Lonchura striata: one gene and its partner. The main gene of each other region encodes a partner of the protein of the gene in region 2 in a complex. Links are inferred from orthologs where the notes say so. Each region holds a gene or a part of one and is shown on either strand. Other genes may lie near its edges.

Evidence for each region.
Region 1: the proteins of APAF1 (region 2) and CASP9 are in contact, whole or in part, in a crystal structure (PDB 4RHW), measured with the Homo sapiens proteins. The link is inferred for Lonchura striata from reciprocal best matches to the Homo sapiens genes APAF1 and CASP9. Residues at the interface, in NP_863651.1 of Homo sapiens: Thr22, Ser23, Tyr24, Met26, Asp27, Ile30, Ser31, Ile37, Glu40, Glu41, Arg44; in NP_001220.2 of Homo sapiens: Asp23, Trp26, Asp27, Leu30, Arg36, Pro37, His38, Glu41, Gln44, Arg45.

The regions. Positions count from the first base shown.
Region 1 is NC_134626.1:7,670,770-7,681,835, reverse strand, and holds the start of CASP9 (caspase-9), read right to left. Parts: upstream 5,106-11,066; coding exon 4,974-5,105; intron 4,082-4,973; coding exon 3,862-4,081; intron 3,476-3,861; coding exon 3,395-3,475; intron 3,234-3,394; coding exon 3,202-3,233; intron 1,265-3,201; coding exon 1,088-1,264; intron 412-1,087; coding exon 322-411; intron 1-321. Other genes in the region: DNAJC16 (dnaJ homolog subfamily C member 16), read left to right, coding at 9,494-9,654, 10,753-10,819. UniProt on the Homo sapiens protein: Involved in the activation cascade of caspases responsible for apoptosis execution. Binding of caspase-9 to Apaf-1 leads to activation of the protease which then cleaves and activates effector caspases caspase-3 (CASP3) or caspase-7 (CASP7).
Region 2 is NC_134607.1:55,458,812-55,469,880, reverse strand, and holds the start of APAF1 (apoptotic protease-activating factor 1), read right to left. Parts: upstream 4,530-11,069; 5' UTR 4,470-4,529; intron 4,460-4,469; exon of another isoform or gene 4,332-4,459; intron 3,385-4,331; 5' UTR 3,381-3,384; coding exon 3,243-3,380; intron 2,978-3,242; coding exon 2,788-2,977; intron 1,540-2,787; coding exon 1,342-1,539; intron 363-1,341; coding exon 179-362; intron 1-178. Other genes in the region: IKBIP (inhibitor of nuclear factor kappa-B kinase-interacting protein), read left to right, coding at 6,650-6,843, 7,536-7,653, 8,510-9,334. UniProt on the Homo sapiens protein: Oligomeric Apaf-1 mediates the cytochrome c-dependent autocatalytic activation of pro-caspase-9 (Apaf-3), leading to the activation of caspase-3 and apoptosis. This activation requires ATP. Isoform 6 is less effective in inducing apoptosis.

The DNA of each region.
Region 1 (11,066 bases), on a different chromosome or scaffold from region 2:
CTAATAGCATCTCCCTGTCAGAGCTGGAGATCAGGAAGGACAGAAATCACCACAGCATGAGGCTGAGTGAGTTACAAATTATTAGCCCCAGCTTCCAAAACAGAAAACACTTGTCCACTGGCACCACTGGACCAGACCACACCAGAGAAGCTCCTGTTTTCTTTAACCCAGAATAAGGGTGTAACTCTTAAAATTGTACTGCAATGGCAGAACAAGGTTTTGACAGACCACGTCCCTCTCACCCTGTGTGAGACCACAAGACAAAGAATTAACTCTTTCCCATCCCATAGAACAAAGGGGAGAGAGATGGGACAAACCCACCTGGCAGCCATGGGAAAGGATGACCACAATGCAGCAGTCCAAAGCACTGTGGTCCTGCCGTGACAGCTTCAGCAGCTCCAACACCATTTCCTGTGTGGAAAACATCACCACGATAGTCTTTTGAACCATATCTTGGCCACAGGTTACTGCCAGGCCCTGTTCTAATTGCACTGCCATGGATCCAATCTCTGCCACAGGATAGCATGAGCCCCAAGTACAGCTGGCAAAAGTCATTGGCAGAGAGTGAGTATTTCTGCATCTCTGCCCTTATTTAACACTGTCTGCTTTAATCACGCAGATTTCTCACCTCTCTATATTCTTTACAACACAGCACCACAAACCAAAGCACATTTCCACATGATTTATCTGATGAAATCCACTGCTTCTGACTGGGAGCTGGTGAGTGAGCAGAGAACCATGTTCTACTTTCAGATGATCAAGTTCCCCCTGATGCTTCCAGTAATGGCCAAGGACGGCACAGACAGACATGATAAAGTTGTCCAAGCTATCCCAAAAACACAGTCTTCACCAAATCCCTACAAATCCCAACCTTACTTCATGCAGTAAGATGAAAATGTGCAAGGTCCTCTCCTCTTCTGCAATTGCAGCACAACAATAAAGAAAGAGAATGCAAGTGGTTCATTGTTTCTTTATGGGAGGTTTTTGATGTGCTGCCAAAACACAAGACACATCCCCTAAAGCATTCCCATCACTTCCAGGGGCTCACCTCTCATCCCTCGTGTCAGCAGGACACAAGCAGCCTCACCTGAGCTTTCAGATCCCGCCGGGTCAGGACGGTGAAGCACAAGGCCTTGAAGCGCCTCTCCAGCTTCTCACAGTCAATGTCGGAGCCTTCTCGCGTGGACAGACCCGAGTCTCTGCAGAAGTTGACGTTATTGAGGATCAGGCAGTGTCCACAGGGATCTGCTTTCATCTCATAATCCTGGAAGGAACACGTCACAATTGAACTTCTTCTTATTCCAAGAGCTTGCTGGCTAATCCAGCAGGATACAATGCCAGTGAGGAATGGGAGTCCTTAAAGTGGCTCATTTCACAGCTTTTTTCATTTCTCTAGTCCTAGGGATGGGTAGGAGTACCCTTTCTCCACATACATCTTCTCATCAGCAGCCAGGAACAAGAGGCAACCCACTAAACTGGGCAAAGCCTTTGTGGAAACCTGGCTGCTGCTTTATTTGTAGCATGTCCAACAGCAAGTTGAAATTTCTGGGAACTTCTTTTAGGCATTATCATCAAACCTCACCAAAAGGAGCCAAGAATTTATGTTATCGCTGTGGCAATCTTAAGGAGGACCTGGTTAATGACTGATCCACTCTGAGACCATCGGCCCTGTTACAGCCTTGGAGCAATTGCTCAGGTAAGACAAGGTGAGATCCAGCTCCTCCAGGAACATTTTCTGGAGTCACCCCTGAGGCACAGAGCTTTTGCCTAGTAGGGAACACTTTCAGCCTATCGTGGTTTGACACGGAAAAAGAATTTTCTCGGAAGGAAGAGGTCAGTCCAGTCAGGGGTCAGGTTTGGATACTGACACTTGGGGTGACCAATTGAGGATGGACACGCCTCTGAGAACACAGAGGGGTAAAAAGCAGAACTCCCAGGAGAACTCGCTCTCTTTGGTTCTGGTCATGGGAGGGTGCAAACCTCTCCTGCCCAGCCATGAGCTGGGTGGGGAGGGGAAGCCATGTGGCCTGCAGAGGTAGGCCAGGGGGTGAAGGGTCTGAAACCGAGCTGGGCCAGTTCCTGCAGATGGAAGGGTGGAGAACGTCTGAGATGTCTTTGTTGCCCCCCCAGCCTAGAGGAAAAGACATAGAGAGCCTTCAGACACCCAGGAGTTTGCCAGCAGAGAAGGAGGACGGGGTGGGGGGAAGATGCCCAGTGTGGGAGACAGCACAGCCTCCTGGGCCAGAGATTTCAGTCGTCCAGGGAGTTTGGGAATTTTAACCCTTTCCTGTGAAATGAAGGCTTTGTGAAATATTGCTCCTCCTCAATTTGAAGGAGAGACAGCTGGGGACCTTAGTTGTTAGGGAAAGAAGGTTGGGGGGAGATGATCGAGTGGCTTTTGGCTGGACTCTTCTTGTCAGCCATAGACTGAACCAACTTCTCCTCCAAGAGAGACTGCATTCTAGGGGGATGCAATGGTGAGCCAAGAAATTCCTCCAGCAACTCCCAGTTCAGGAATGAACAGATGTCAGCTGAGGAGGGTGTGATGATGCCCTCTGTCCTCCGAGAAGAAGAGAAGGCAATCTCTGTTCTTGGACCCCCGGCCCCAGGGGAAAATGGGGGGGACTGTAGTCCCAAAATGAGACACTGGACTGTTGTTCCTGTTGGTCCTTGGCAAAGCATCCTTAAAGGGGCCCTATAAGCAGTCTCCATCCATGCACAGTGGTGAGAGCACTGTGACATGGAGAGGAGAGTGTCACACTGGCAGATTCTCTCCAGGCAGTGCCACATGTGACATGGAAACACAAGAAGTGGCAGCTGTGTTTCCTGGGGGTCTATGGTGCAAGGGAGACTCCTCTCTCCCTTGATGGACTCAGGATTGATTATGTGGAAGGGTGAAGACTTGATTAAGAGTCCAAATGTGTCTCGCTGTGGTTTGTTGGAGTTGGGTGATGGGAGGAGGAATGTTTTGAAAGGTTTTCAGTTTGAATTTTGTGTGTGTTTTCTTTTTTCTTCCTTTTTTCTTTTATAGTAGTAGTAGTAGTAGTAGTGTAATAAAGTTTTCCCCTTGTTATTAAGTTTGGCCTGCTTTGCTCTGTTCTCGATCGCATTTCACAGCATTCAATTGATAGGTTACATTTTCATTGGGGCACTGGCATTGTGCTAGTGTCAAACCCTGACACAGCCTTCTCAAATACTAACCTGATCACGGCTCCTCTTGTCAACAGCTGAACCTACAACACAAAACAGACACAGGATTCAGTTCACCGCACTCCACAACAAGACCACACTCCTAGAGTTCATGTCTTTCCCACCACATATGAATTTCCCCTTCCCACCACACTGGAAACAAGCCTTTGGCATGCTGTGGCTCTAGAAGTGGAATGTGGATTACCTCGGGCTGGCACAGGAGGCATTCGAGGTCGTTCACTCTCAGCTTGGACTGGGATAGACAAACGTTCGTGAGGGATCACATCTGTAATGGCATGGGACAAAAATACAGAGGATGAGTCCAAGCTCAAAAGGTTCCACTGCTGAAAAGCAGGACACACAGGCTGCCCTGAAAGGCTGCTGTGGAGAGGCTCCCCATCCCTGGCAGTGCTCAAGACCAAGCTGGACAGGGCTTGGAGCAACCTGGGATAGTGGAAGGTGTCTCTGCCCATGGCAGGGGATGGAATGAGATGAGCTTTAAGGTCCCTTCCAACTCAAACCATTCTGGGATTCCATGATTCTCCCAACAGCCACCTCTACCAGGATACTAAAAATCATGACTTCTGGACTCTTGCCCACAGGGAGACGAGTCCCAGCTGCCACCTCCCATGCTGCTGTTTGCCAAAAACACAGCACACCCTCAGCACTGACTTTTACGCTGTTTTTCCTCCTGCAGCTCCAGCTCCACGGGCTGCAGGTCCGGCAGCTCCGTTGGCACCGGCCGGGACTCGCACTCCTGGATCAGCATCTCGGCGAGGTGGCCCTGCCCGGTGTCCCGCAGGATGGAGAGGAAGGCAGGGAAAGCCTGCTTCCCCCGGGTCTCCAGGTCAATGATCAGCTGCCGGGCTTGCTCTCCCCGGCTGCCAGCACTCTGCAGAGGAGAAAATCCCACGAGAGGGGCTCATGCAGTGCCTGGGCAGCCCTTCCGACCGCTCTGAGCAGGGGAATGTGGGATCCACACCCAGGACATGGACATGGGGTAAACAAGAGCAAAACCGAGTGGAAATAGTCAGAGACCCCCACCAGACCCTGACCTCCCTCCAACAACAATGGTCACGACTGGGAAACCCAGCCCAGTGAGGGGTCTAGAGGGAAAGAGGGAAAGGGAGAACCCCAAGTCTGGCTCCTGGGGACCAGGGGCACCCAGGCACCCCTGGGCTGTCACCAGTGTGTAAGATGGGGTAAAAACACCCCCAGGCCTGTCACCTGTAACCAAGGGGGGAAACATGAATACCTTAAGGGTGCCACCAGAGTGGGATGGGGACAAAAGGAGAAACCCCTACACCTGGCACTGGCGGGGGACAAGAAGGGACAAGTGGGGGAAGGCAGTTCTCAAACATCTTATCTGCACAAGGACCAACGTCAGGCCTTGTCATCGAGAGTGAGGGGACACAGGGCCATCCCTTTGCACCTGTCACCAGGACTAAAGGGACATGGAGCTCCCCTATGAGCTTGTCAGCAGAGTGGAGGGACCTGGGGTCTCCCTTGGACTTGAGAGGACACAGGACAATCTCACCCACGTCTGTCCCTAGAGTGAAAGGACTTGGGGGCCACCCGTGACTTCTCACAGGCTCAAGGGACATGGGTTCCCCCTTTGGGCCCAAGAGGACATGGAGCCACCCCTGCCAAGGCTGTCACCAGGGTGAGGAGACATGGGGGCCACCCTTCAGTCGTGTCACCAGGGCTCAGGGGATGCAGGAGCTACCCCGCCATGCCGGTCCCCGGGCCAGCCCCGGTGCTCGGTGTCCCGCTCCCCGGCCCACCTGCAGCTCCTCCAGCATGGGCCGGGTGAAGAGCCCGCGCTGCTCCAGCGGCTCCCAGAGCGGCTCCACCCGCAGCGCCGCCACCAGCCGGGCCCGCCCGCGCCGCAGCGCCCGCCGCTGCCGCTGCTCCATGGCCCCGGGGCGCCGGGACCGCGCCCGGCCCGGGGCCGCCGTTCAATGCCCGGGACCGCCGTTCAGTGCCCGGGACCGCCGTTCAATGCCCGGGACTGCCGTTCAATGCCCGGGACCGCGCCCGGCCCGGGGCCGCCGTTCAATGCCCGGGACCGCCGTTCAGTGCCCGGGACTGCCGTTCAATGCTCGGGACTGCCGTTCAGTGCCCGGGACCGCCGTTCAATGCTCGGGACCGCGCCCGGCCCGGGGCCGCCGTTCAATGCCCGGGACCGCCGTTCAATGCCCGGGACTGCCGTTCAGTGCCCGGGACTGCCGTTCAGTGCCCGGGACCGCGCCCGGCCCGGGGCCGCGCCCGGCCCGGGGCCGCCGTTCAATGCCCGGGACTGCCGTTCAGTGCCCGGGACTGCCGTTCACTGCCCGGGACCGCGCCCGGCCCGGGACCGCCGTTCAATGCCCGGGACCGCCGTTCAATGCCCGGGACCGCCGTTCAATGCCCGGGACTGCGCCCAGCCCGGGACTGCCGTTCAGTGCCCGGGACTGCCGTTCAATGCCCGGGACTGCGCCCAGCCCGGGACTGCCGTTCAGTGCCCGGGACCGCCGTTCAATGCTCGGGACCGCTGTTCAATGCCCGGGACCGCCGTTCAATGCCCGGGACTGCCGTTCAATGCCCGGGACTGCCGTTCAGTGCCCGGGACCGCCGTTCAATGCCCGGGACCGCCGTTCAATGCTCGGGACTGCCGTTCAATGCCCGGGACCGCCGTTCAATGCCCGGGACCGCCGTTCAATGCCCGGGACTGCCGTTCAATGCTCGGGACCGCCGTTCAATGCCCGGGACTGCCGTTCAATGGCCGGGACCGCGCCCGGCCCGGGACCGCCGTTCAATGCCCGGGACTGCCGTTCAGTGCCCGGGACCGCCGTTCAATGCTCGGGACCGCCGTTCAATGCCCGGGACCGCCGTTCAATGCCCGGGACTGCCGTTCAATGCCCGGGACCGCCGTTCAGTGCCCGGGACCGCCGTTCAATGCCCGGGACTGCCGTTCAATGGCCGGGGCCGCCGCTCAATGCCCGGGACTGCCGTTCAATGGCCGGGGCCGCCGCTCAATGCCTGGCATCGCCGCTCAGTGCCCGGAGCCGCCGCTCAGCCCCGGAAACGCCGCTCAGTGCCCGTACCCACCCCCGGTTCCCTTCCGGAGCCGCTGCTCTGCCCCGCACCCGCCCCGCTGCCCCGGACCCGCCCCCGGTGCCTTCCCGGAGCCGCCGCTCAAAGCCCGGAGCCGCCGCCTCGGAGTCCCAGAATCGCACACGGAGTCAGGCTGGAAGAGCCCTGGTGTGCCCCAGAAGGGCCATGCCAGAGCAAACGAAACAGGATTCCGTCCTTTTGTGTCTTGGTGTTTTGTTTTGGTTTTTCTTTTAGTATCTCCAGGGATGAACACTCCACACCCTCTCTAGGCACTGTGTCAGCCGCACAGCAAAGTTCTTCCTTGTGTTCAGATAGAACTTCCCGTGCATCAGTTCCTGCCCCTTGCTCTTGTGCCATTTCTGGTCCCCCCGGAGCAGAGGCTGAGCCGTCCCTGCAGACAGGGACAGACAGGGACAGACAGGGACAGACGGGGACAGACAGGGACAGACGGGGACAGACAGGGACAGACAGGGACAGACAGGGATAGACAGGGACAGACAGGGACGGGGATGAGGGCCCCTCCCAGCTGTGTCTCTTCTCCAGGCTGAACAGCCTCTGCTCCCTCAGCCCTTCCTCAGCAAGGGAGTTGCTCCAGGCCCTTCCTCACCTTCGCTGGCGAGGAGCCCAGGGCTGGACAGGGCACTCCAGGTGTGCCTCCCAAGGCTGGGCAGAGGGGCAGGGTCACTCCCTGACCTGCTGCCAGTGCTCCTCCCAGTGCACCCCAGGGCCTCTGGGCCCCCAGGACACTCTGCTGGCTCCAGGACAGCTCATTGACCGTGGGACCCCCAGGTCCTTCCTGCAGAGATGCTCCAGCAGGTCACCCCGCCTGTGCTGGTACTTGGGGCTGTTCCTCCTGGGGCAGGACTTACATCTGCCCTTGCTGGTCATCATTAATTTTCTCTCTGTCCAATTCTCCAGCCTCTCAAAGTCCTGCTGAATGGTAGCACAGCCTTCAGGTGGATCAGCCAGTCCCCCAGGTGTGTCACCCAGTCCCCCAGCCTTCAGGTGGATCAGCCATTTCCATATCATCACCAAACCTGCTGAGGGTACATTCCATCACTCTGTCCAGATTGTTGATAAACAAGCTGATTAAGACTGGGCCCAGTATTGATCTTTGGGGAAGCCACTGACTGCAGACCTCCAAGTGGATGATGCCCTCTGCACTCTGCCACCCAGACAGCCCTTGATCCACCTCACCACCCATTCATCCAACCCACATTCCCTAAGCCAACTGTTGTGGGTTTAGCAGAGCTGCAAATTAGGTACCACGCAGCTACTTGCTCAGCTCCCCCCTTCTTTTCCCCTCCCACCCTGTGGAATGGGAAGGAGAATCAAAGTAAAACTTGTATGTTGTGAAAATACTGGTTTAATAATTGAAAATAAAGTAAAATACTGTAGTAATGGTAAATTATAACAATAACAACAACAACGATAATAACAATGATAAAGGGGAAAACAAGTGATGCACAATGTAGTTGCTCACCACCCACTGACTGATGTCAGATCCCTTTCCTGAACCCAGATCAGCTCCTTCCCAGTCACTCCCCTCAGTTGATGCACTGGACATTCTGTGGTGTGGAATATCCCTTTGGCCAGTTCAGGTCACCTGTCCCATCCATGCTCCCTCCCAGTTTCCTTAGTGAGTCTCCTGACTGCCAGAGCACAATTCAAGAAAGAAGTCTTTGACTTTGGATTAAAAAAAAAAAAAACAAAAAAAAAAAAAAAAAAAAAAAAAAAAAAAACAACACACCACCAAAATAGAATCACAGAACATGCTGAGTTGGAAGGGACCCACACAGATCATTGAGTCCTGTTCTCACAGAGGACACCCCCAGAGTCACATCATGTCCCCAGAAGTGATGTCCGAATGCTCCTGGAACTCAGACAGGCTCCGTGCTGTGTCGGTTCCCTGGGGAGCCTGTTCAGTGCCCGACCACCCTCTGGGGGAAGACCCTTTCCCTAACATCCAAGTTAACCCTGCCCTGACACAGCTCCAGCCATTCCCTCGGTCCTGCCACTGTCACCAGAGCAGAGATCCGTGTGTGTCTCTCCCTCTCAGAGGATGAATCTCCCCTCAGTCTCCCCCAGGCTGAACACCCCAAGTGCCCTCAGCCGCTCCTCCTCCCCTCAAAGCCCTTCCCCACCCTCACTGTCCTCCTCTGGACGCTTTCTAACACTCCATATCTCTGTTATTTTGTGGTACCCACACCTGCCCTCACACTGCGGCGAGGCCGCCCCAGCGCAGAGCAGAGCGGCCCGGGACCCGCGACCCGGCTGGAGCTCCCGGCTGCCCCGGGACCCGGCTGGAGCTCGGGGCTGCCCCCGGACCCGGCTGGAGCTCCCGGCCATCCCCGGACCCGGCTGGACCTCCGGGCTGCCCCGGGACCCGGCTGGAGCTCCCGGCCGCCCCGGGACCCGGCTGGAGCTCCCGGCCGTCCCGGGACCCGGCTGGAGCTCCGGGCTGCCCCGGGACCGGCTGGAGCTCTGGGCTGTGCCCGGACCCGGCTGGAGCTCCGGGCTGCCCCGGGACCGGCTGGAGCTCCCGGCCATCCCCGGACCCGGCTGGCGCTGCCGGCTGTCCCGGACCCGGCTGGAGCTCCGGGCTGCCCCGGGACACGGCTGGCGCTGCCGGCTGTCCCGGACCCGGCTGGAGCTCCGGGCTGCCCCGGGACCGGCTGGAGCTCCCGGACATCCCGGACACGGCTGGAGCTCCGGGCTGCCCCGGACCCGGCTGGCGCTCCGGGCTGCCCTGGACCCGGCTGGAGCTCCGGGCTGCCCCCGGACCCGGCTGGAGCTCCGGGCTGCCCTGGACCCGGCTGGAGCTCCGGGCTGCCCCGGGACCGGCTGGAGCTCCCGGACATCCCGGACACGGCTGGAGCTCCGGGCTGCCCCGGACCCGGCTGGCGCTCCGGGCTGCCCCGGACCCGGCTGGCGCTCCGGGCTGCCCCGGACCCGGCTGGAGCTCCGGGCTGTCCCGGACCCGGCTGGCGCTGCCGGCTGTCCCGGACCCGGCTGGCGCTCCCGGCCGCCCCATCCCCAGCCCAGCCCGCCCCACAGCGCCGGCACAGCTCCTCCGCAGGGCCCAGCGCCGCCCCGCTGTCCCGGAAGCGCCGGGTCTCCATGGGGACGGCGGGCGGGCGCGGCGGAAGCGGCGGCGCTGGCGCGGGAGGGCGGCGCGTCCGCCGCCTCCGCCCGCGGCCGCCGCACCATGGAGCCGGCCCGGCCCGGCGGCCTGCCGCTGCTGCTGCTGCTGCTGCTGCTGCCGCTGCCCGCGCCGGGCGACTTCGACCCCTACCGCGTGCTGGGCGTCGGCCGGAGCTCCAGCCAGGCCGACATCAAGAAGGCCTACAAGCGGCTCGCCCGGGAATGGTACGTGCTGCCCTTGCGCCCGCTCCGCCCGCCGGCAGCGGCCCCGGCCGCGGCTCGGCGGCAGCGCCGGCCCCGCGGCGGCCTCAGCCGCTGGCCCCGCTGTGCTCCTCGCAGGCCGGCCTGGCATACAGAGATGCCCCATGCCGATACGCGCTGTAAAACCCTCCGGAGGCTGGCTGCGGGGGGAGAAGGTCGCTCAGAGTCTGCTTAGCAGGGGAAATGCTCTCCCAGAATCAGGCTGCGTGGGGGAAGGTTCTCCTGGAATCTGGCTACGGAGGGAAAAGTTCTCCTGGAGTGTGGCTGTGTGGGGGGAAAATTGTCGCAGAGTGTGGCTGTAGGAAAAAGTTCTTCCAGAGTCTGGTTACAAAGGGAAAAGGTTCTCCCAGAATCAGGCGACAGGGAGAAAAGTTCTCCCTAAGTCTGGCTGTGCGGGGAAAAGTTCTCCTGGAATCTGGCTACAAGGGGAAAAAGTTCTCCCAGAGTCAAGCAATGGGGGTAAAAGTTCTCTTGGAGTCTGGTTGTGGGGAGAAAAAATTCTCCCTGGGAACTTGTAATTGATGAGGGCTGAAGTCTCAGCTTGATGCCTGGGTGTCCAAGGGCCGTTCAGTCCCTGTGCTGTGGACGGGAAATGTGTTGGATGCACAAGCATCGTGCCCCTCATGCAGGTGGTGTGTGGTGAGGGCCAGACTTAGGCATGGAAATAAAATGAATAAAGTTGCTTACCTGCAGCTTTTAGAGCCCATGTTGTTCTGTGTGAGACATCCCTGAGGCCGTGGCAGCTGGTGATTCAAGGGAGAACCCGGTAGTTATGTAGGGCAGCAGCCAAGGGAGGCATTGCTAGGAAGGAGACACGCTCCATGCCCTGGGCTCAGGCTGCTTGGGAAGGAGCAGAGAGAGGGACAGGTCCACAGGCACATGGCACACATCCCACTGCTGCATTTTGGGATGGGGTTTGGGCAGTGACAGCACGTGCTGGGTATAAATCTGGTCTCAGCCTCGGGGATGTCAGTGCACGCCCTCACTGCCCATGTCCCCCTCAGCTCCAAACAGAGGCCAGCAGCTCCTACTGACCCCTTTTCCTCTGGTTCTGCCCCACAGGCACCCTGACAAAAACAAGGACCCAGGAGCAGAGGACAAATTCATCCAGATTAGTAAGGCCTACGAGGTAATACATGCTTCCTGTGAACTCCTGCTATCGTTAACATTAAGTGACCTTAGTTTTCCATACATGGTTTTGTGTTTTTCCAGTGTATTTCTATGTGGGAAAGGTGCTTGACTCTGTGGAGGTGGACATTATCTACCCAAAAAATTTGCTCTGCCTAAAAAGCCTGAAAGAAAAAAGGAGTGGGTATTCCCCAAGCCCTGCCTGGCTGTGCAGCGTCCTGACTGTGTCACACATACATAAAAGCATT
Region 2 (11,069 bases):
GGTTAACATATTTTGTTGCTAGAAGTCTTATTAACCTAAGCTAGGAAGTTGGATAAAAAAACAAAATACACACCACTGACACATGTAACAAAACCACAGATACCTCAGATGATTAGACCAAAGTTACTCTGCAAAGTTTTATAAGTAAAAGAAAAGTATTTGATTTTAGTGATATCACCTGGGGTATTTGCGTAACATCAGCAAACGAAGACGATCTTTAGCCTCCTCAATGTTAAGTGGTGGCCTTTGTGAAAGAGTGGAGTCATGTTCCAATCTACTACAGAGATTCTGAAGTTTTATGAGCAGCCCTGCTTTGTCCTGTTTCCCAACAGAGATCCAGTGAACTCCTCCTGGAAAGTAATCTAACAAGAAAAGCAATATTAATCATGCCATACATTTTAAATAATTTAAAATATTTTATAGCAACTTACAGCAGTAAGTCAGCATTAATTGAAACACAAATCTCTAAAATCTGTTGCAAGCCATCCTTGCAACTCTGCTATTAACACACAAGGGTGGTTCTACAAGACCACTCCTGTTTATTTTTAAAAGGAACAGACTCTGTAAGACAAGTACCCACAGAAATTTCACACCATCACTGATGCTGTTGTCCCTCCTTTCTACACGTCTTCCTTCCTGTCCCTCCACAGCCCCTTCTGCATCCATCTTTCTGCTCGTCTGACCTACCATTTACATTTTTAACCATGTAGTACTGCAAGAGTTCAGAGCCTGGGGTATGACAGTGATCAAGAAGATACCTAGATGAGTCAGCTGTAGCAGAGGATGCTATAGTATCTAACCCTACATCGTTTTTTCTTTAATGCCAAGTCCTACTTTCTCCTCCTAGTGTCCTATGCAAGGAAAAATAAATAAAATAGAAAAAATGCCATTAAATGTTTGTATCTATGATCTACTTTAAGCTAAGGCAATACTAATCACCCACAAATGTCTGCTACTATTAAAAAGTTTTTTAAACTCATATAGCAAGGAGTCAGAGGACCTTATAAGCAATGCCCAAAAGGAATATAACTGGATATATTATTTTGCACTAAAAGAAATAAAGATTTTAAGGTAATCAAGGATGCACGTACTCTCATAAACCACAGCAGATTCTAAGGTGAAAAGCTATTCAAAACCTTTTTCTACAAACTAATAGAACACTTAGTGGTCCTAGACCACCACATGGTTATGGAAGTTGTATATTGCAAGCAAACATTTCAGAATCACCTAAGAAATTAAGAAATCCAAATCACTTTCAAGGTGACATATGCACCATTCATGTCCAATATGTGTAAATCTACAGTGATTTTTATAAAAATACAGATGCTTTTCTGAAAGTACCTTCCAAGAGCTGAGGATCCCTTAAAGCTTCTGCTGTTAAAACAGTCTTCCCACAGCCTGCCATTCCATAAACTGTGACCCAACCTGGATCACTTCCCAAGCAGTACAGTTTCTTTTTAATAGCATCTACCAGTTTTGGTCGAGTGACAAAAACAACCGGTCTCTGTGGTACGCCTCCTTCGCAGAGAATGGTCTTCACTAAAGTTAAGAACAAGAAACATCAAAATAAAACATGAGTTCTAAATGAGATGCCTCTTCATACTCAACCAAACAACTCGTCATCCAAAATAACTAGTGGGCTTCCTCCCCACCTCATGTCCTATAAAAATGCCCTAAAATATGCTGGACTACAAATAACAAATAACAAAAAAATACTGCTTTTTAGAAATAAAAATACTTAGCATGTAACTAGCTCCCTACCTAAAGCAGTGTTCAAATTAATAACTGCATTGGGAAAGCTTATTACATTAATCCCTAGAAGTGAAGAGAGAATTAATATCTCCCATGGAAAATGTGGCAAACACAGGAGGTCAACATTACTATACCAAACAATCAAGTCACTTTCTCAGCCAGAGGTCAGCACACCGTGGATGCAGCAAAAAAGAAAGGATGCTGTGTAGGGCCTTTCCTTGGCAGTTCACAGCACAGCACTGGGGTCCAAGCAAGACTTCCACTGCTTTAAGCTGAGATAGCATGACTTGAAAGAGGTAAAGCATAACAGAAAAGGAAACGTGCACTTCATCTGCCCACTTTGTGGCTATATGAAGTGACATAACTGATAAACTTTGATTATCTAAGATAGCCTTGAACTCCACATGCCTTTGACACTTACTACATGCAGAGTGCCAGTAAATATGGCAGTTAGTCATATGCAGTTAGAAGGTTCTGCCCATTAGAAACTACAAATTTATTTCATGTCGAAGATGATCCTGATGACAATGCGGGTAAAAGTTATGGAACTTATACAAGGTAACTAAAAGATCTGATGGAAAGAATTAAGTAACCTAATAACTAGATCAATTAATCAATGATCAACTAGATCAATGTAGGTTGAGAGATTCCAGATTACTCTTCAAAATAAATATCAGAATTTTGGAGGCTACAAGTTTTTATTTTAATAGATACAAATGAAAGTCTGTCTTTCACTTACAACAAAAATTTTACAAATTAGAGAAAATAATAAGAGCATCAGTTCTTCTACCTTTTAAAATCAGCATTATTCAATATGAACACTTTCAAGGTGAGCTATAAAAATAGTAACTGTTGTAATTCTCCTGCCATATTAAGCAGAAGAAATAGACATAGTTACTATACTACCAAAATAAACAAATGCACCAACTGCTCCTTTTTCATTGGAACAGGTATTACACATAGCCACTTTCTAAGGATTAAAAAAGACAACTTTTGTTCACACTCCAGCACAGGGATTGCTGTAGTTACACTGACCGTAGGAAGTCATTCCATCCATTGAACTTTTTCTGTTACCAGACGAGACGGCAGGGATGCCGTCCTGAAGAAGTGCAGCAAGATCTCTGTACCCTTCGTGGAGCAGTGCATTATAAAAGGATCTATATGAATTATTATCCTTTGTAAGAATAATGTTTATTAGCATAGCTGCTCGCTCCTTCCGTGTATTCTAGAAAAAAAAAAATTAGAAGAGGTATTACAAAACTAAGAAACTCCAAAAATAATTTAATCTATCACTTTGTAAATTATAGACTATTTATAGTTACAGAAATAGTCTTTAATTTACCAAGCCCTTAACTTTATTGAGCAACAAAAACTGTGTGCTAGAATTCGATAAATACAGGAATTAGATAGTCAGAAATTACTATTTTTAAAAGGATGGTAAAATATGTGAGTAGATTAGGGAAAGAAATAGCAGTGAGAGATAATTCTACCTGTTGCTTCACTCTCTCCTCCTCCTGTAATGTCAATACTTCATCAGAAATCATACGATCCATAATATAAGAAGTCTTGATGTCATTTTCCAGTGCTTGACGATTCATAAGTAAATAGTTTCTACTCTTGACATCCATATTTCTTCAGAGTGAAAAAGAGTGGGGGAAAGTAAAGTCAGACTGGGAACATAACTTACAAGCATGAGGAAATAAGTTTTAGAACAGCTTATAAATTTTGGTGTTAAAATCAGAAGGAGTAGCAAAGCACTAATTCTGAAAATACACATTTTTTTTTCCCATTCCTATGAATTTATGTTTATGAACACTTTCAGAACTACAAAACCAAAGACTACAAGCTTCTCATATACTAGCATCTTGCTAAATGTCTCTATTCAAAGGTCTTCTCCCCACTCACTACATCCCCCATTTTTTTTTAAGTCCTTGGATTATGTGATTGGGTCAACAGGATGAGAAAGAGGACTGGCCTCATTGCACGGGATAAACGCATTGTTGTCTCCAAGTTCAAGGACACTTGGCTCCTGACATGATGGAAGAGGGAGCACCAACACTGCCATTGACTGCGCTGTACCTTCCTTTATCAGCATTTGCACACGCAACTTCAAACTTGCATTCTCCCTCCATATCATAAAAAACCAAATGTCTGAAGAAAACAGGTGAAAACTATTGACTACGGCATAAAGAACTGATCAGCGCCTCCGAGAGTCCCAATCGACCAAAACGCTCTCTCTGATGACACTCCTGCCAGGAAAGCTCCATAAACAAGTCGAAGCTTCACACAGAGCACACACAGAAGCGTTGGCCTTTTCCGGCACCCTCTCCTTCAGGAGCTGGGCAGACGCAGAGCAGCTGCCTTTGGGTAAGCCCGTGATGGAGAGCCCCTTCCGCCGTGCTGACAGAATTTCCTATAGTCACTAAAAATTACGTAGTTAAGAAAGCCTTGCACACTACCTTCATCCCACCGCACAGCGGAGGAAAGGGGACGCTAAACAGATAACAATACTGCTACAAGCGAGGCAAATACAGAAGAAATCGCTCCACAAACACACCCAAAACAAAGGGTTAACTCACAGCGTGCTGCTGTTGCCAGCCGCCAACCAAATGGAGACCGAGGCGCTCAGACCGCCCGCCCGCCGGCCCCTGCCCTGCCCCGGCGGAACCCTCGCGGTCCGGTGCGGTCCGTCCCTGCGCGTCCAGCACGGCGCTCACCTGGCGGGCAGCGGGGAGCCCCGGCAGCCGCCGAGCCCCGAGCCCCGCCGGCCCCGAGCCCCGCCGAGCCCCGAGCCCCGCCGGCCCCGAGCCCCGCCGAGCCCCGAGGCGCAGCCGCTACCCCGCGGCTCCCGGGCAGGCGGCGCCGGCAGCGCTTCCTCCTTCCGGGCCTGGGCGGGGAAGGGCCGGCCCGGCCCGCTCGGTGCCCGGCCCGCTCGGTGCCCGGCCCGCTCGGCGCTCACCGCCGCCGAACAAAGCCCCGCGCCGCCGAGCCCGGCCGTGCTGCCGGGATCGCCGCCCGCGGCGGGCGGGCCCGGACGTGGCGCAGCGGGCGGCGTGCGGCAGCCGCGGCCAGGGGAGGGGCCCGGGCCTGCAAACGTGGTGCCTGCGGGGCAGGGCGGCCCCGCCCGCCGCTGGGGCCGGAGGAGCGCGGCGGGTACGGGGCGGCGGCCGCAGGGAGGGGAGAGCGGAGGTCGGCGCTGCCGGGGCTGGGGAATCCTGCACGGCGGGCTCGGGCTTGCCGGGGGCCCCGGGCGCGGAGGGGATGTGGATCACTATGGGGGAGAAGAGGAGATGTGGGTCACTCTGGGGGGAGCGGAGGGGGTGTGGGTCACTCTGGGGGGAGCGGAGGGGGTGTGGGTCACTTTAGGGGAAGAAGAGGGGATGTGGGTCACTCTGGGGGGAGCGGAGGGGATGTGGGTCACTTTGGGGGAAGAAGAGGAGATGTGGGTCACTTTGGGGGAAGAAGAGGGGATGTGGGTCACTCTGGGGGCAGCGGACCGGTCCGGAAGGGTCTCTGGGGAGCTGCGGCTCATCCCTCTCTGCCGCACCGGGCTGCGCGCAGAAGCTGTCCTTTAAAAGCAGAGCTTTTCTCTCTTAAACTCTTTTTCTAACTATTATTCAGAGCTCTCTTTTTTCCCTCCATTTTAACTTAATAATATATTCTCTCCAACCCCAAGATGTTTTAAAAGCTTCAAAATACAATTTTTCCGTTTTGGTGGCTTCTTTTGTTTGGTTTTTGTTTTGGTTGCGTTTTTTTTGGTTTTGTTTTGGGGTTTTTTGTGTGTTTGTTTTTTTGTTTTTTGGGGGTTTTTTGTTTGGTTTGGGGTTTTTTTGTGTGTGTGTTTTGTGTTTTGTTTGGGGGTTCTTTTGGTGGATTTTTTTTTTGGAAATGAAAAACTTTTTTCTCCATGCTTCAAGCTCAGAGTGTACTTCCTAGTACTGTGGCTCAAACAGCTCTAAACTACCTGCATGACAGATTGGATTTTAAACAATACCTTTTACCCCTGTACATGACTATGTAAGTATCTCCAAATATTTCTATTTTGATATGTGACTAAGCAGCAATGCTGCTAAGTGATCCAAAACCCCAGCAGAACAATTTGGTCTCAAATTAGGCTAAAGCAACTCTGACAAGGATCAAGTCTATTTTGAGGAGTATGGTGGGAGATTTTAGGCTTAAAAACTACACTCTGTACTTCACTTGGATGGTTAAAATATGAGCTGGAGATTCATATTGCCTCAGTCTATTCTGATCTTAATTTTATCAACAGGAAGTTTTTCTGTTTTCTAGAGGAATGATTTAATGAATCTTCTGAACTTTTTTATCATGACTTTTTGTTAACTGATGTTTGTGATTTTACAGATGACATGAAATCATTACAGCAGAGCTACTAAATTAAAGCTTGATTTGCAATTTTATTTTTTAAATTGAAAAATTAACTTTCCCCTTTTAGTGTGGTGTAGATGATAATTCTTTTTTAAATCTACAGGTAAAACACAAGTACATCAGTGAAATTGCTGATGAACTTGTGACAGTCATCAGCTACAAAAAGAAATATACTTTTAATCCTTGTAATTTTAAATCTATGTTTAAAACAACTTATTCTATAACAGACAAAATATTTCTGGAAACATGAAGTTAGATTAAGCTTGGAAAGTCAATTCAGCTGGAGAAAATATGATAGCAATGCTCTGTAATATAGAAAGCAAGTGAAAGTATGATACTTTACTAGGAAGCATAGTGAACAGCAAAAGAAACATTTTTGGAGGTGTATTTATGTACTTACAGTTTATGTTTGAGGATGTTTAAAACGTAAGAAGTTAAAAACAAGTCCTTTCTCTTGTTTGTTTTTTTTTTCCTAGCTTTCTCCTTTGCTTCTGCTTTTTAAAACCACAAAATGTCTGAAGTTAAGACAAGGAAAAAAGGTATTTCTTCATCCAAGACCAATGAAGATTCACAGAAGGCTGAGAAGCACAGTAATTATGGGAAGCTGGCAAGTCCCAGGACCAGCAATAATCACAGTTCCTTTTGGATGGACTCAAGGACAAGCTTGAGTGTCGTTTCCCTTGCTGTTTGCCTGGTGGTGAGCTGGTAGGTAACCCTCTCTAAAGAGGATTTTAGTATTTTCTTTTGTATTCTGTGGGGTGTGTGATTTTCATGTTAGCAGAGAGCTTGAGCTAAGTGTCTACAGAAACATGTTAGAGCCAGAAGGATCCAGGAAAGAGTAGCAGTATTTACAAGCAGGGAAACATGGGCGTGCAGTGAGTTACTGTAGAAGCTCCATCTGTTACATGAGGTTGAAGGTGCCTTGCTCAGGAATTCTAAAGACCTGCTTTGGAGACTGCATCTTCCTGGAGAGCGACTTAGGCTGACAGGAAGTGCTCGTTGAGCAGGCAGTAAATGGACAGAAGAAGTGAAATAGAGTTTTCTTTAAATCATTTCCTCATCAGTGTAATAAACCGTTCATCAGGTGGAGTCCTTAAGTAAAGGTCAAATGCCTTTGTTAAAGATGTTTTAAAATATCTTAGCAGCATCAGTGCCTTAGTTACCCTAGCATGCAGTGTAAAAGCAAAGACATCTATCAATGCTTCCTTGCTGTCATACCTTTTGTAGAAGTATCAAGACAGATCAATTTGTTTTTCTTTTTTTGCCATATATTGATCTAGCAAATTTTGTGAAAACAAATCCCTCCAGTAACAATTTGCTCTGAATCAGGTCCTGAAATACTTAATATATACTAATTAAGAAGTTACGTTTTCTGTTTATTTGCTTGAAATTTCCAGGTTTCTATTTCAGCAGTCAGGTCAATTTTCTGATCTGGAAAGAAAGTACAATTTTTTACATCAAGAAGCTGAAAAAATCCTGGATGTGGGAAATAAAGTAAACTTAATTTCTGAAAAGGTAATAATTAACATCTCAATTGGATGATCTTTTGTGAACATTTGTCATTGCTTACTTCACTGTTATTTCATTAATTTAACTGCCTGTTTTAAAACAAGTTTTCAGAATGTGTTTTACTTGCCTGTGAATAGGCATTTAGAGACTATTTCATGTGACAAAGCATGTCAATCCATGCCATTGTTCCAGTAGGTTGTATCTCAGTATAATTTTTTAGAAACTAAAGTATTTTTAAGAACTTACATATATGCATGTTTCATTTACCATTCCTCTTTCATGTGCAATTCTTAGGTACATTGATTTGAAGAAAATGTACCGGCATTTTGATGTAGCAGACCTGTTCTAATAATATGAAGACATAATAAAGTGATAGATAAGAAAATACTATAGTAATGAAAAAAGATATTACCACGTGTGACATTATCCAGTAGAAAAGATGTGCTGGCTGCTGAATTATCCCTGATACATTATGAATAATGATGGAAGCATGGCATGGCTCATGCCAGTGATTTTATTTCAGCACTGATCTCTGAATTATGTCATTCATATATTATGTAATTTGGATATTTATATACTACAGATTTCAAAGTGTTGCATGGGATTTACTGTATTTTTGACAAAAAAAAACAAGCATGGAAAATTGCATATATGCTATAGAAGTTCAACAACAGACATACTTTTTCATGCTAGGTTAATCAATGATATTTTAAAGAGGAACCATGGAAACACACCATGGAGGAACTTTGTAACAAGTACAGTGGTTTTTAAGGGACTTTATTATCTCTTAATAAATGGAAATGGTTTTCTGTTGTTACTTTTGTTAAGTAGACACAGACATTGTTTTGTGTTGTAAATGCAGCTTGAGTCTTCTGAAAGTATCCTGCGAGAAGCTGCCTCATCCATCTCTGTGATGACTGAGTTTGGGCAGGAAATATCTTCTCTTCATAACACCATAAATGATATTCAGAACAATGAACAGACTCTATCTCTAAAGATGCAGAGAATTAATGAGAAGTTCCAAAATGTTACAAATCCCTGGAGAAGAAGTCTGGATGAAATGAACACAAATGCTAGTGGTTTAAAATCTGAAGCAAAGTTCATTCATACAGAAGTTACTTCCAAAATTAATGAAGTTGACCAAAGAATTAAATCCCTTGCAGAAAGAGTAAGAGATTTGGAAGACAGTACAGCCAGAAATATCAGAACACTAAAAAAGCAAGAAGATGATGAATTTTCTAGAGTTGAACAAAAGTTGAACTTGGATGCAAAGTCAGTTGAAAAGATAGAAGAAGAACAGAATAGTCTGGTAGCCAAGGACACAGACCTGAATCAGAAACTTGCAAACTATGAACCTAAAATTGAGGAGTGCAAGAGCCATTTGCCAACAATTGAAAATGCTATTCACTCCATTCTTAGGTTGTCAAGTGAATTGCTTGGTATGGAGAAAAAGATAGAGGACTTGAAGACACAGCTGTACGCTGTGGAAAATGACATGCTGAAAACTGTTTCTGATACAGTGGTGATGCAGAAGGCTCTTGAAGGCCTCCAGTCCAATGGCAGCTTGTTCAAAGTGCTGCATGAGCTAGCTGTTCTAGAAGCAGGGCCTGACATAGCAGTATCTTCAAAAGCAGAAGTAACTTTAGAAAGCTTTAACTTCGAAAATGACCAGAATGGGGATAAGTGAATTTGGTCTTAGTCTTTTCATTGATGAAAAAGCACTTTTTTATAAATAATGTGATTTAAACCTATATCAAAGATCACTGATGTACTGTCACTGATCTAAAGATCATTGGAACAGCTTGAAAGGTGGAGAAAGAGGGTAGTGAGCAAGGAAGTAACACTTTGTTAAAGAAGGAAAGTAATATTTTCTTAAATTAAGGATTATTTGCAGTTTTTTTATTAAAAACAATTTGAAGCCAGGTATTTAGATTTAAGGGGGGGAAAGTTAATATTTTTAGTTTGTATTTAGTTTTCACTACCTAGTTTCTTTTGTTGTTACTTTGTGTATTTTTTTCCATAGACTTGTAACACAGTGAACTGATGATTTGTGTTTTCAGAGGTCACCTTGGAAAGTCACGTGGCACCTTCTTGTAATTTTTTGTTGCAATAGAAGAAGTACTAACATTTATTAAGTATACTGACAAGAAAAAAAAAAATCTGGTTGTGTTATAACAGAAATTGATTTCCTAGAGACAGGTTTTGCACTCAAATTGAATGTCAGAATAGTAAGGTATTTCATTAAAGTATAGCTTGAATTTTGACATTGAGTTCTTAAGCTAGAAATATTTTTGTATCCCTCTAGTGTGAAAAGACTTGGAACTTAATGAAACAACTGGAAGATCTTCAAATAATTTCTCACATTAAATATCTGCAGGAAGATATTTATACAATGAAAACATGGTCTAGCAGCATAATTAAAAAACAAGAAGAACTGGAGAAGAATTTAACAAGCCTTTTTCATGCAGTTTCAAGCGCTGAACAGGATGCAGCTTCTGTAGCAAAAAACATAACATTGACAATTGTGACAGTAAAAACTGACATAAGGCGCATTTCAGGCCTGGTCTCAGACATGACTGCACTGACAGATTCTTTGCAAACATTAGAAGATAAAGTAGAAAAAGGTGAAAAGGCAACAGTAAAAAATATAGGTGACCTCCTTACCAGTAGCATCGACCGAAGTACGAAAATACAAAGCCTGGCATCCAGTAACGCAAGAAAAATTGAGCAAATTAAGACATCACTGTCTGAGTTAAAGAGCAATTTTGACAAGCATTCTGATAGACTTTTGAATCTTGAAGGTGACAGAGCAAAAGTTCTGAAGACAGTTGCATTTGCAAATGATTTGAAACCTAAGATGTACAGAGTTAAAAAGGAGTTTGCCATCTTGGAGCCCTTAATAAATGACCTAACACTGAGAATAGGAAGATTAGTGGAGGAAGTTTTGCAACGGCAGAAAGAAATTGCTTTACTGAATGAGAAATTGGCCAATCTAACAAGAGTTCAAACTGAGATTAAGGATGTGAAAGATGAAATAACTAAGATTTCAGATATTAATTGATCACTGAAAGGCAATTGCCTAAAGAATAATGTTTGAGGAGTGTGAACTCCCATCATGTGTAGTACTGAGAAGGCAGGCAATATTTAAATGCTTCATTTAGAAGCACACCTAAACCTGAAATTTGTCCTATTCTTTTGAACAGGACAGGAAAAAGTCATACTTATTTCAAGGGAGAAATAATAATGTGAACAAAAAATGTACCTCTCTGCATGTATTTTTCTTTCTGAAGAATGAGAGATGCTATATTTAATAAATTGGTTTTTTTGTATAATAAAGCAGTGTTAAAGTACAGAATTAAGTTCTTAGTTTTAGAGTTTGCTTTCACAAAGAAAGCAGGACCCAAGAATGACAGATCTCCAGT